Linked DNA regions of Pelodiscus sinensis. The protein of the gene in region 1 binds, or shares a complex with, the protein of each later gene. Links are inferred from orthologs where the notes say so. Each region holds a gene or a part of one and is shown in the gene's direction. Other genes may lie near its edges.

Region 1 (3,745 bases):
TTAGGCTGGTGTTTAAATACCTTACATTGATCTTTGATATGACTGAGTTAACCAGCCCATACATTTGTTGAAGAAATAAACAATTGAAGAAATATACAAAACTGAGTAAATTTGATTTTTGAACATTTAAAGCATCTGTTTTCTCAGTATTAAAGAGGGCATGGCCCTTCATATTTTCTGAAGTGTTACCCCAAGTATTCAGAAAGTCAGGCCCAAAAGCCTCTATGGATGCTTTCCCTGAAATTCTGCCTACACTAGTTGCTTGAGTTAATGACCTTGAACATCTTATTCACAGGAAGAAATCTTCTGAAGCTCCTTACAGTTTGTTCTAGAAATTGCTAACCCGTCGTCATGCAGGAGGAGTTCAACAGGAATTTCTCTAGGCTTTACTTGTGCTTTAAACTATCTGAGTTCATTTTATTTTTGCTTTAATCTAATTAACAGAAATCATAGAACCATGTAGGAAGTGCTGTAGAGCCTCCTGTTCCTCTGCTGTATAACATATTGGATTAATCCTGAAATTATATCAAGATTTTGTGTATTTTGACTATTTCATTGTAGGATGGTGTTCTGTTTCATTGTCCTTAGATTTTGCAATTACAGGCCTTAGTGCCACTTGTGATTTCATAACCACCTTTGCCAGGTATGGACTTGCTCTTCCTTTTATGGGACAAAAGGGAGAATAGATTGTTCACCATGAAATTTAAAATCGGATGGGTTTAGCTGCTACAGTGAATGCTGATCCTGTTCTGTTCTTTCAAATTCTGTCTTCCTTGGAACAATCCCCTTGGTACATATCTACAAAAGGTAGTTGCCACAACTCCACTCAATTATAAATGATGAATTTCCTGACCTGTGTATCTAACTCCTCAACATGTCACATGATCCATTGCCATAGTGTCAGTAAGTGAAAGAAAGGAACTTGCACGGGGCTAGTGCAGGCATTGAAATACCGTTGTAAGGGCAGCGCGTGTGTAATACTCAGTGGTTACACCTGAAACTCTGCCCCCCCGCCCCCGCCTGCGCAGAGACGTGGTAGGATCCGCCTGCAGCCCCCTCACTGCCGGAGCCCCCCGGCCCCATCGGTCAGGCAGGAGGAGGCTGAGGCAAGAGGCGTGGCCAGCCGCCTCCCAGACACGTATCCCGCATGTAGCAGCTGCCGCGGCGCCCCTCCCTCCGCCTGCTCCTAAGCTCCGCCCCAGGGGCGGGGCTGCATCTCCCCTGGCCTGCTTGAGGCCCCCGGCTCCGAGGTGGCTGCGAGCGCGAGGTAGAAAGGGTGGCGTCGCGTGACGCATGCGCGATGAGCGCTCATTTGTCGCAATGGTCTCCTGCGGAAGGATACGGATCAGATGAGTGACAATTCTCAGTAGGGTTCTACGGCTCACTAATGAGAGAGTGCACCGAAAGGAGGCGAGAGCGCGAGTTAGTTCTAGAAACTCATCTGTCGCAACTGGGTTTGATAACGCCTAGGATTCGATCCCTTTTCCTACGCGGACTATTTTGTGTAAGGAAATAGATCCGGCAGGAGCCATACGCCTGACGGGGTGCTTCCTCCGCCGCTGCCGCCATTTCTGGAGCCGCCGCCTTAGCGAAGAGGGGGAGGTTGGGTCGCTGTGGTCCGGCCGCTGGGTCGCGTCGCCTGGATCTCTCCGCGCCCGGGGGAGCCCCGCCCGCCCGCCCGCGCGCCCCCGATGGCGACCTCTGTGGGGAACGTGGCTGACAGCACAGGTACCGGCCCGCGGGCCGCCCGCGGCGCTGTGGGTGCGGCCGGCGCTGGCGGCTCCGGGCCTGTCCGCGCGGGGTGCCGGCCGGCTGCGGCCGTGGGCTGGCTTGTGCCGCGAGCCGCCCGCGATGAGGCCGCGTCGGGCGCGGCGATGCGGTGCGGGGGGACGTGCCCGAGGCCGCTGGCCGGGCTCAGCCGCCGCCCCGGGGGCTCGCCGCGTCTCTCGCCCCCGCCCGGATGGGCGCCACTCGAGTTTCTTCCGCGCTGTCGCCAGCATCCATCGCCGCTTTGTGGCGGCCACAGCCAGACTGCGAATCGCGCCCAGTCCCGTTGTTTGCCTTTTCTGTTGTCAGCTTCCGCTCTCATCATCGCCTGTAAAGCGGCACCGAGCGCGTGTGGATGCGTGGGAGAGCCGTGATGTAGTTCGCACGTGTGTGAAAAGCGCTAAGAAATGTGCCTTACAAATACTACTTAGGAAATGTCTGGAACCATCTTCCGACCCCATCTCCTTAGTCCCAAATCAGTTTTTCAGATCCTTTTCTGTATTTTCAGGAGTATGCACTAAAGTGAACCTAATACTTTATATCATAAATTGATAGTTTAATGGGAAAATGCTTTTAAAAACTGCTGTTAAGATCAAATCTTTCACAAGAAAAGTAGCTTTATCTTATGTTTTCTATGCTGGTGAGCACTTCATAAAATAACTTCTTGCCACAGGAGGCAATTAAATTATTGTATTTCATCAAGGTATTAAAGTCTGGGATTCTTCAGAAAAATTTCAAATTAGTGTACTTATACTGAACAATATAAATAATTGTTAGAGTTCTTTATGTGCATGAGGGAGATTCTTCCTACAATCTACTATCATTCATTCACTTTCAAAACTAGTTTGACTTGCAGTGGACTCTAGGGAAGGGATTAATTGCAAGAGTACACATTTGTTGAATAAATTGGAATCTATATATATCCATATAAAAGAATAGAGCTCTGATCTAGCTGGCCACCCCAAATCCTCCCAATACTTGCATATAGGACCAGATCCAAAATTTTACCGTTGTTAGTTGACACTAGTGTGCCTGAATTTAATTGGTGGGGAGAAATTGCACATTTTTTGAAAGTTTTGACAAAATGAAGGAAATCTGAGTTTGGATTTTTCTAGCAAGCTGAGGACAGTTGAAACAATCTCCCAAATTTGGAACAGAAGTAAAACATCTCTCATCAACTTCCTTATATCTGTCACCCTCAAAGTCTCTAGCCTTAAGTGCAGTTTTAAGCTTGGAACTTGGATATTTGCTTTTTTGGCAAATTGGGGAGAGGAGAGGTTAGAAATTTGTATTGAAGTATCAAAGCAAACAAGTAAATCAGGTTATTTTGTTTCGCAGTTGTGTATGCCATTTCAGTTTTTCAATCTTGTTTTAAGGGTGAGTAATAGTACGTAGAAATTGATTTCCTCCTTTTAGCTTTTTTTATCTTTATTTCTGGCAATAGAAGAACACTTCAACAGCATAGATTTGGAACAAAAATCAGACACCAGCTATTTGAAAGACTAAAACTTAATCAGAGGTAGCACTAATGGAAACTGGGTACCCAACAGTATGGTCTATAGGTAGTCTTTCGAAGCCCTCCACTAGATCAAGATCCTGGAAATATAGGCAGTCCCTGGGTTACGTACAAGATAGGGACTGTAGGTTTGTACTTAAGTTGAATTTGTACTTAAGTCGGAACTGGTGTCCAGATTCAGCCGCTGCTGAAACTGACCAGCTGCCCACTACAGGAAGCCCGAGGCAGAGTTTCTCTGCCCAGGGCTTCCTGGAATCAGCCGCTGATCAGTTTCAATAGCAGCTGAATCTGGACGCCTGGGACAGAGCAGCTGGGGTGCTGCTGTGTAGGTCCCTGCAGCGCCGCACCTCGGTGCTGCGGGGAGCAACCCGGCAGCACCCCACCTGCTCTACCCCAGGTGTCCCCAAGTCAGCCGCTGCTGAAACTGATCAGCGGCTGATTCCAGGAAGCCCGGGGCAGAGA
Region 2 (3,745 bases), on another chromosome or scaffold:
GGGAGCGTTACTGCAAGAGCAACTGGGAAGCAGCATAGCAGCTAAACTTGCTCTATGATGGTCCATCTAGCCAGCATCCTGTCTTCTGACAGTGGACAGTGTTCATTCCAGAGGGAATAAACTGGTCACCCATTCCTAGCTTCTGACAAACAGAAACTAGGGACACCACCCCTGCTCGTCTTGGCTAATAGCCATGGACCTAACCTCCACTTTTTTTTTCTTTTTTTTTTTGGCCTTCACAGCATCCTCAGGCAAGGAGTTCCACAGGCTGACTGTGTTATGTGAAGTGCTTCCTTTGGCTTGTGTTAAACCTGCTACCGGTTTGTCCTTCCAGCCCTGAGTTTAGGCTAGGCAGATCACTGTGGGCAGCAGCAGAATTGAGGCCTAGAGACAGACAGATGCACCCAGAGCCAGGAACTGGATCTGACTTGGCCAAGTCCAGCCTCATTTTCTCTTCCTCTTCAAGAATTACTGTGGCTGTGTCTAGACTGGCCAGTTTTTCTGGAAAATCAGCCGCTTTTCCGGAAAACCTTGCTAGCTGTCTACACTGGCTGCTTGAATTTCCGCAAAAGCACTGACTTCCTACTGTAAGAAATCAGTGCTTCTTGTGGAAATACTATTCTGCTCCCGTTCAGGCAAAAGTCCCTTTTGCTCAAAGCTTTTGCACAAAAAGCTCACACAGCTCAGATTTGTTTTCCGCAAAAAAGCCCCGATCGCGAAAATGGCGATAGGGGCTTTTTTGCGGAAAAGCGTGTCTAGATTGGCACGGACGCTTTTCCGCAAAAAGGGCTTTTGCGGAAAAGCGTCCGTGCCAATCTAGATGCTCTGTTCCGAAAATGCTTTAACGGAAAACTTTTCCGTTAAAAGCATTTCCGGAAAATCATGCCGCTCTAGACGCAGCCTGTGTGTTTAGTGAATGAAAGAGCTCTGGATGCCCAGCTTGGGGACACCACATGCCCCAGGCAGGGGGGGCTGGGCTGTTTCATCACCAGTTTGCCTATGGGTGCTTTTGGGGAGGGGTAATGCCGCAGGATTCCTCTGCTTCAAAATGCACCCCAACCTATAGCCCCATCCCTTCCCCCGCCAGCCCAGCCTCTCCACCTCCATAGCCATCCCCTCCCCACTCCTGACCTGCCCAGCTCTGCCTCCCTCTTCCTTCCCCTCCATAGCCATACCCTCCTGATCAGCCCAGCCCCATCTTCTGCCCTTTGCTTCCTGCCCTACTTCCCCACCACCATCCCCTCCCCTTCCTGCCCCCCCAGCCCAGCCTCTCCTGCCCCGCCCTCCCAACAGTAGTCCTACCCCATGGTCCATACCCCCTCCTCTCTCTCCCCCTGCATTACCCACACCCTCCAGCCCTTCCCCCACTCCTCCCCCTCCCCTCCCCTCCCCTCCCCTCCAGCCCTTCCCCCACTCCTCAGAAGCCTGCTCTCCCCGCCCCCCCTCCCGTCCCTGCAGGGGGCTGGCCTCGGCTCCCGGACTGATGGGTCTCTCCTCCAATGGCCGCGACGGGGCGGCCTCCTTCCCGTTCCTGGATTGGTGGCGAGTCTGGCCAATGGTGCGGCGGGGGCGGGCGCCAGTCGGTCTAGGCGCGGGCGAGGTAAGATGGCGGCGGTGTTTCCTTGCTAGGCCGATGGCGCGGCCCCCCCCCCAGGCAAAATGGCGGCGCTGAGGGGGGAACCTGCGGGGAGTTAGGGGGACCAGCCCGTAGGAGGCAGGGGGCAGAGCCTGGGGGCGGCCTGTGTTCGGGACCGCCTGTGGGGGTGGGGGGAGTCAGAAGCAGCTGGGGGTCAGCCTGTGGGGGGGGAGGGGAGAGCGGCTTGGGGGTCAGCCTGTGGGGGGGGGAGGGGAGAGCGGCTTGGGGGTCAGCCTGTGGGGGGGGAGGGGAGAGCCGCTTGGGGGTCAGCCTGTGGGGGGAGGGGAGAGCGGCTTGGGGGTCAGCTTGTGGGGGGGAGGGGAGGGGAGAGCGGCTTGGGGGTCAGCCTGTGGGGGGGGGAGGGGAGGGGAGAGCGGCTTGGGGGTCAGCCTGTGGGGGAAGCCCATGAGGGGGGCTGGGGAAAGTTGGGGGGGAACCATCCTGTGAGGTCTGCGGTCCAGGGAAGCAGCTGGGGGGGGGGGTCTGCCTCCCCCAGGGCATGTTTCAGATTCACATTCCCAAGTGGGGTTGGAAGCTCTTCAGGGCAGGGACACAGCACAGAGCCCGTGACTCTGGCTGGGGCCTCCCCTTCCTTTCCCGACACCTGTCAGGGCCTTAGGGTGGGGGTGGGATTGTGGCCCCTGAGCCCACGGCAGAATGTGGTGGGTGAGTCTTGGCAAAGGGGTGTCCTAGTTCTCTGTGGCAGGGGTGGGATGCAGGTGACTCTCACCCTGGAAGGGGCTATCTGGAGAACAGACCCTCCCCTTCCATGTTTTTCCTCCTTGCTGAGGAGACAGTCATGGCACAAAAAATGTGCCTGGGTCTGAATGGCAAAGAGTCTGAGTTGGGCCTCTCCCCATCCTCTTCTGTTTTGGGACCTCCACTGCCAGACAGCACAATGTGAATGCAGGGGACGGAAGTGGCAAAGTGACCAGAGATGCCATGAAGCTCCCACCTCCCAATGAAGAGCAGAATAAACCAAGACTGTAGGAAGGATTCCCTCGTCCTATTCTGTCTTGTAGTACTGAGGTGTCTTATTTTGTGCCAGGACACTGTCTGTATAGCACAGGGATTTATACCAACACTTTGACAAATTATTTGGTCCCTTTGATGATGATAACAGAGGCTGATCAGTTGTACTAGCTTGTGGGGTTTGCTCTAGATATAACAATTATCTGTACGTGTCTGTTGCATGTGTAGGCATGAACAGAATCCGGATCCACGTCTTGCCATCAAGTCGGGGGCGTGTTACCCCTGTGCCAAGGCCCCAGGAACCCTTGCCTTGTGCCTTCACACACCGTCAGTGTTCCCAGCCTCGGCTGGAAGGGCAAGAATTCTGCATTAAGCACATCCTAGAAGACCGGAATGCTCCCTTCAAACAGTGCAGCTATGTCTCAACTAAGAATGGGAAGAGGTGTCCAAATGCTGCTCCCAAAACTGAGAAGAAGGACGGGTAGGTGCTGGTAGAATTAAAGTGGCTTGGCAGGAATATCTTGTCATGCGAAGTATCAATCCCATGGCTAAGGCACAATACAAGGAGCCAGGAGTTTTAGTTTTAGTCCTAGTTAGGCTGCTTTCTCATTGTGGGACCTTGAACAAGTCAGTCTGTCTTTAGCCATCTGCAAAGTGGGAGTAATTATCTGATAGAGGAATTAAAAGTTCATTAATGCTTATAAAGTGCTTTGAGATCCTTGGGTGAAAGGGGCTGGAGAATTGTGTAATGTTTGTTTCCTGGTGCTGGCATCACTGCAGATTTTTATCTTCAACAGTCATAGTGTCAGTTTGGAAATAAGTACGCCCTCTGAGATCACAAATATTTGAATCCCCGGAATTTTGAGTGGAGTCCTTGTGAGGTAAAGATGTTCAGCCCTATGCACGTGGGTCATTAAAAATCCTAGTATCAGTTTTTTGTAAGAGGGAGGGCTTGACCTCGTCCCCTCATCTTACTGCTAGGCCATGTGGCTGCCACCTTCATGGCAGAGGTAACTGCATTTCAGTGGTTGTGCGTGTGGTTTGTCAATCATATATTCTTTAATATATTAGGAACTATACAAATGACTGTCAGAGTTGCTTGAATTTATCATTGTGTTGGAGGAAAGAAGTGGAGAT
Region 3 (3,745 bases), on another chromosome or scaffold:
TGTGGAAACTCCCTAAGCAGAGTAAGAGGCTGCTGGGGGACCTATGCAAACACTGAACGCAGGGTGGTGGGTGAAGCTTCTGCTGGGGAGGTGACCTTCCTACCCTCATCTTCTCCCTGTGCCCAACACACATTCGACCCCTTCTCCCCTCCAGGCCACGCCCTCACCCCACTGTCTTCTTCTCTTCCCTCCCACTCCCTGTTCATCCTCTTCCACCCAAATCCCTGAGCCCAAATGAAACAAATGATATCACCCCCCCCCACTCTTCTGCATTGTCTTTCTGAAGAAAATGGAGCGTGTTTTCCATTGCATGCCAGGTGGTGAAGACTGGGCAAGCAGACGGTACCTTACTGAAAGCACTAAACTTGTGAATAAAAAATGTCAGTTACATGTGTTTTGATATACCCTGAGGTTTGTCAGAGGTTTATTTGCAAAAAGTTTGTAGTAAAGGGATTAGTCAGCTGTCCTGCTGAATACAACATGAAATATATTATGGAATACATCATAGATTCCCAAACTGGGGGGCATGCCCCCCCTTGGGGTGTGTGAAGAGATTCCAGGGGGGCGCAAGGCAACCCAGCCCCCCCCGTCAACCTCCCCCCGCCCCTCCCCCAAGAAAGAGCCTGGTCAGTCTGGTAAAAAAAATTCAGAAAATACCATGTGAAATGTCCAGTATTTTCTATTTTTCCTGGCTTGGGTGTCCACTGGAACACACACCTGGAGTATTGGTACCTTTGTTTTTACACAGGTCCTGGGAATCAAAGGGGCCACGACTGTTTTTTGGGCCTGGTCAGTTCCTTTCTTTTTTTTTTGCTCAACAAGTTTTGGGGGGGCAGGTGTGAGGGTTTCTCAAAAATCAAAAAGGGGGTGTGATTCTGAAAAGTTTGGGAACCCCTGGAATACATGATAGAGCTCTTCAGGGTTGTACATTTTCTTAACCAGTGTTTCTAAGCCGATTTATAATTAAAATACACTCTTAACCCTTCATCAAGTAACCATTCCAGAGTGCTACATACAAGAGACCCTCCTGGATGGGATCCCTTCATGGAAGCGCTGTTTGCAGTTGCATGTATTTGTGGGTCTCTCCTATCCCCTGCATTGCACCACATCCCCCGGCTTGGGGGGGGTCGATGCAGCCTCGGTGGGAGCAGGGATCGGGATTCTGCCCCGCACTCACCCTGGCATCGGGGAGGCCCTACCCCAGTATTTGCCTATTTCGCCATCGGCGGTGGTGCCAGGAACACCAGGGTTTCCGGAATTTAACTCACTGAAACCAAGATACTAGTTTAAGTGACTGGGGCTCTGTGCACCCGGAGTTTCATGCACCAGTGTGATCAGGGCACCAGGGCTGGGAGAGAGCTCGGCTCACACGGGGGCACCGGGGCTGGGAGAGAGCTCGGCTCACACGGGGGGGGGGGGCACCAGGGCTGGCCAGCAGGCCCCGTGGCTGCGCTGCGACAAGCCTCCCCCATTCAGCCTTCCTGGCCCAGCTCCGCTCCGCGCGGGGCCGATCCGCTCTCCGGCATGTGTCAGCGCCGCGCGCTCCGCTCCGAGGTCCGGGCTCCGGGGTTTGCGGGAGCGGCGCCTGCGCAGTGCGCGGGGCCGGGCGGGCGGCTGAGGCCTGGTGGAACGGCGAGAGCCTGAGGCGCGGAGCCGGCCCCGGGTGAGCGGAGCGGAGCCCCCCCCCGAACCCTCCCCCAGCGCCCTGCCCCCCCAGGACCCCCCCGGACCTTGCTCCCCCCCCTTGCGGCGCGCCTGGGCGGGGGGCGGGGCAGGGGGTTTGGGGGGCAGGACGGGATTTGGGGGGAGGGGAGCGGGGGGTTTGGAGGGGCAGGGGGGATGGGAGCGGGGGGTTTGGGGGGGCAGGATGGGATTTGGGGGGATGGGAGCGGGGGGCAGGGCAGGGGGCTTGGGGGGGCAGGGTGGGATTTGGGGGGATGGGAGCGGGGGGTTTCGGGGGGCAGGGTGGGGGCAAGGGGTTTGGGGGGGCAGGGTGGGATTTGGGGGGAGGGGAGCGGGGGGTTTGGGGGGGCAGGGTGGGATTTGGGGGGATGGGAGCGGGGGGCAGGGCAGGGGGCTTGGGGGGGCAGGGTGGTGGTGGTGCCAGTTCGTAGCAGGAGGGCCCTGACTGGGGGCATTCTGGGGCTGGAGCAGTTTGCACACACGCTAAGGGGCCCCAGGCTGTCTGGCGAGGTGGGGGTCTGTCCTGTTTTGTGCTTTATTGGGGCTGGGTCAATACAGCAGGGCCCTTTTCCTGCAGCATGTTCACCCTCCCTCTCCTGTCCTGTCCCAGTGCAAGGAGGCCAGGATGAGGAGCCGGAAGAGGCATTTACGTTGGCGCTAGATGCTGGGACGACCCAGAAGACATGACCTACCGAGGCACTGAGCGGGACTTCCAGACTTCAGCCAGGAGGATGGGAACCTCGTTGCTCTTCCAGCTCTCTGTCCATGAGAGAGAGCTAGACCTCGTCTTCTTGGACCATAGCTATGCCAAGCCATGGAGTGCCCACCCTGACGCCAGCAGTGCCCGGCCTGCACGGATGCTTTTCGTCACCCCCAGGAGGCACCAAGACAGCAGCATGTGAGCAAAGCCCTTTCTAGTGCTTCTGAGTTAATTTGCTTTGGATTCACACATATTTTGGATACTCCTTTCCTATGCTCTGATGGCTTTCTTGCTTTCTGTATCTGCTTTCAAGGTGCTTTTCAACACAGTAGGTAACATATTAAAACCCCAGCATAAGAACATAGAATGGCAAGACTGGGTCAGGCCAAAGGTCCTTCTAGCCCAGACAGTGGCCAATGCCAGGTGTCCCAGAGGGAAAGAACAGAGCAGGGAATGATCAAGCTTCTGACACACACTGGCAGAGGACACCATTCCTACCCGTCCTGGCTAATAGCCATCGATGGACCTGTCCTCCACGAATTTATCCAGCTCTTTTTTGAACCCTGTTAAAGTCCTAGCTTTCACAACAGCCTCTGGCAAGGAATTCCACTGGTTTTGTGTTGTATGAAGAAATGTTTCCTTTATTTTAAACTTGCTGCCTATTCATTTCATTGGGTAACCCTGAGTTCTTCTGTTATGAGGAGTAAATAACACTTTCTTCTCTATACCAGTCATGATTTTATAGATCTCTACCATATCTCTCGGTAGTAGTCTCTTTTCCCAAACTGAAGAGACGCAGTCTTCTCTTTGCTCGTGTGGAAGCTGTTCCATACCCCAGTCATTTTTGTTGCTTTTTTTGTACCTTGTCCAATGTCAATATATCTGTTTCAAGATGGGGTGACCACATCTGCATGTCGCTTACCATGAACTTATATAGAGGCATTATGATATTTTCTGTCTTATCTGTCCCTTTCTTGATGATTCCCAACATTCTATTCACTTTTTTGGCTGCTGCTGCACACTGAAGGGATGTTTTCAAAGACGTATGCACAATGACTCCAAGTTCTCTTGAATGATACCAGTTAATTTAGACTCCATTTATGTGCCAAGTTGAGTTTTCCAATATGCATTACTTTACATTTGTCAACATTGAATTTCATCTGTCAGTTCTCTAAACAGGACAATTTGTACCTGACCATGTAAGCTGTAGAAGTTCTCCCCTAGAGGGCAACCTGCTTTGTCTAGAATCAATTTTTAAAGCATTAACACACACTAATTGAGCTGGGTTTGAAGTTTTCAGTTAAATGTCAGATATACTGATATTTCTAAATTGAAACTGTTGCTGTTAGACTTTCCCCTTTT

Evidence for each region.
Region 2: OGT (region 1) and KANSL2 share a complex: the UniProt entries of both Homo sapiens proteins name them as parts of the NSL complex. The link is inferred for Pelodiscus sinensis from reciprocal best matches to the Homo sapiens genes OGT and KANSL2.
Region 3: OGT (region 1) and KANSL3 share a complex: the UniProt entries of both Homo sapiens proteins name them as parts of the NSL complex. The link is inferred for Pelodiscus sinensis from reciprocal best matches to the Homo sapiens genes OGT and KANSL3.

Annotation. Positions count from the first base shown.
Region 1 is NW_027466001.1:365,164-368,908, reverse strand, and holds the start of OGT (UDP-N-acetylglucosamine--peptide N-acetylglucosaminyltransferase 110 kDa subunit), read left to right. Parts: upstream 1-1,582; 5' UTR 1,583-1,691; coding exon 1,692-1,728; intron 1,729-3,745. UniProt on the Homo sapiens protein: Catalyzes the transfer of a single N-acetylglucosamine from UDP-GlcNAc to a serine or threonine residue in cytoplasmic and nuclear proteins resulting in their modification with a beta-linked N-acetylglucosamine (O-GlcNAc).
Region 2 is NC_134729.1:5,185,671-5,189,415, forward strand, and holds the start of KANSL2 (KAT8 regulatory NSL complex subunit 2), read left to right. Parts: upstream 1-1,468; 5' UTR 1,469-1,600; intron 1,601-2,836; 5' UTR 2,837-2,838; coding exon 2,839-3,089; intron 3,090-3,745. UniProt on the Homo sapiens protein: Non-catalytic component of the NSL histone acetyltransferase complex, a multiprotein complex that mediates histone H4 acetylation at 'Lys-5'- and 'Lys-8' (H4K5ac and H4K8ac) at transcription start sites and promotes transcription initiation.
Region 3 is NC_134738.1:5,848,126-5,851,870, forward strand, and holds the start of KANSL3 (KAT8 regulatory NSL complex subunit 3), read left to right. Parts: upstream 1-1,521; 5' UTR 1,522-1,663; intron 1,664-2,293; 5' UTR 2,294-2,366; coding exon 2,367-2,581; intron 2,582-3,745. UniProt on the Homo sapiens protein: Non-catalytic component of the NSL histone acetyltransferase complex, a multiprotein complex that mediates histone H4 acetylation at 'Lys-5'- and 'Lys-8' (H4K5ac and H4K8ac) at transcription start sites and promotes transcription initiation.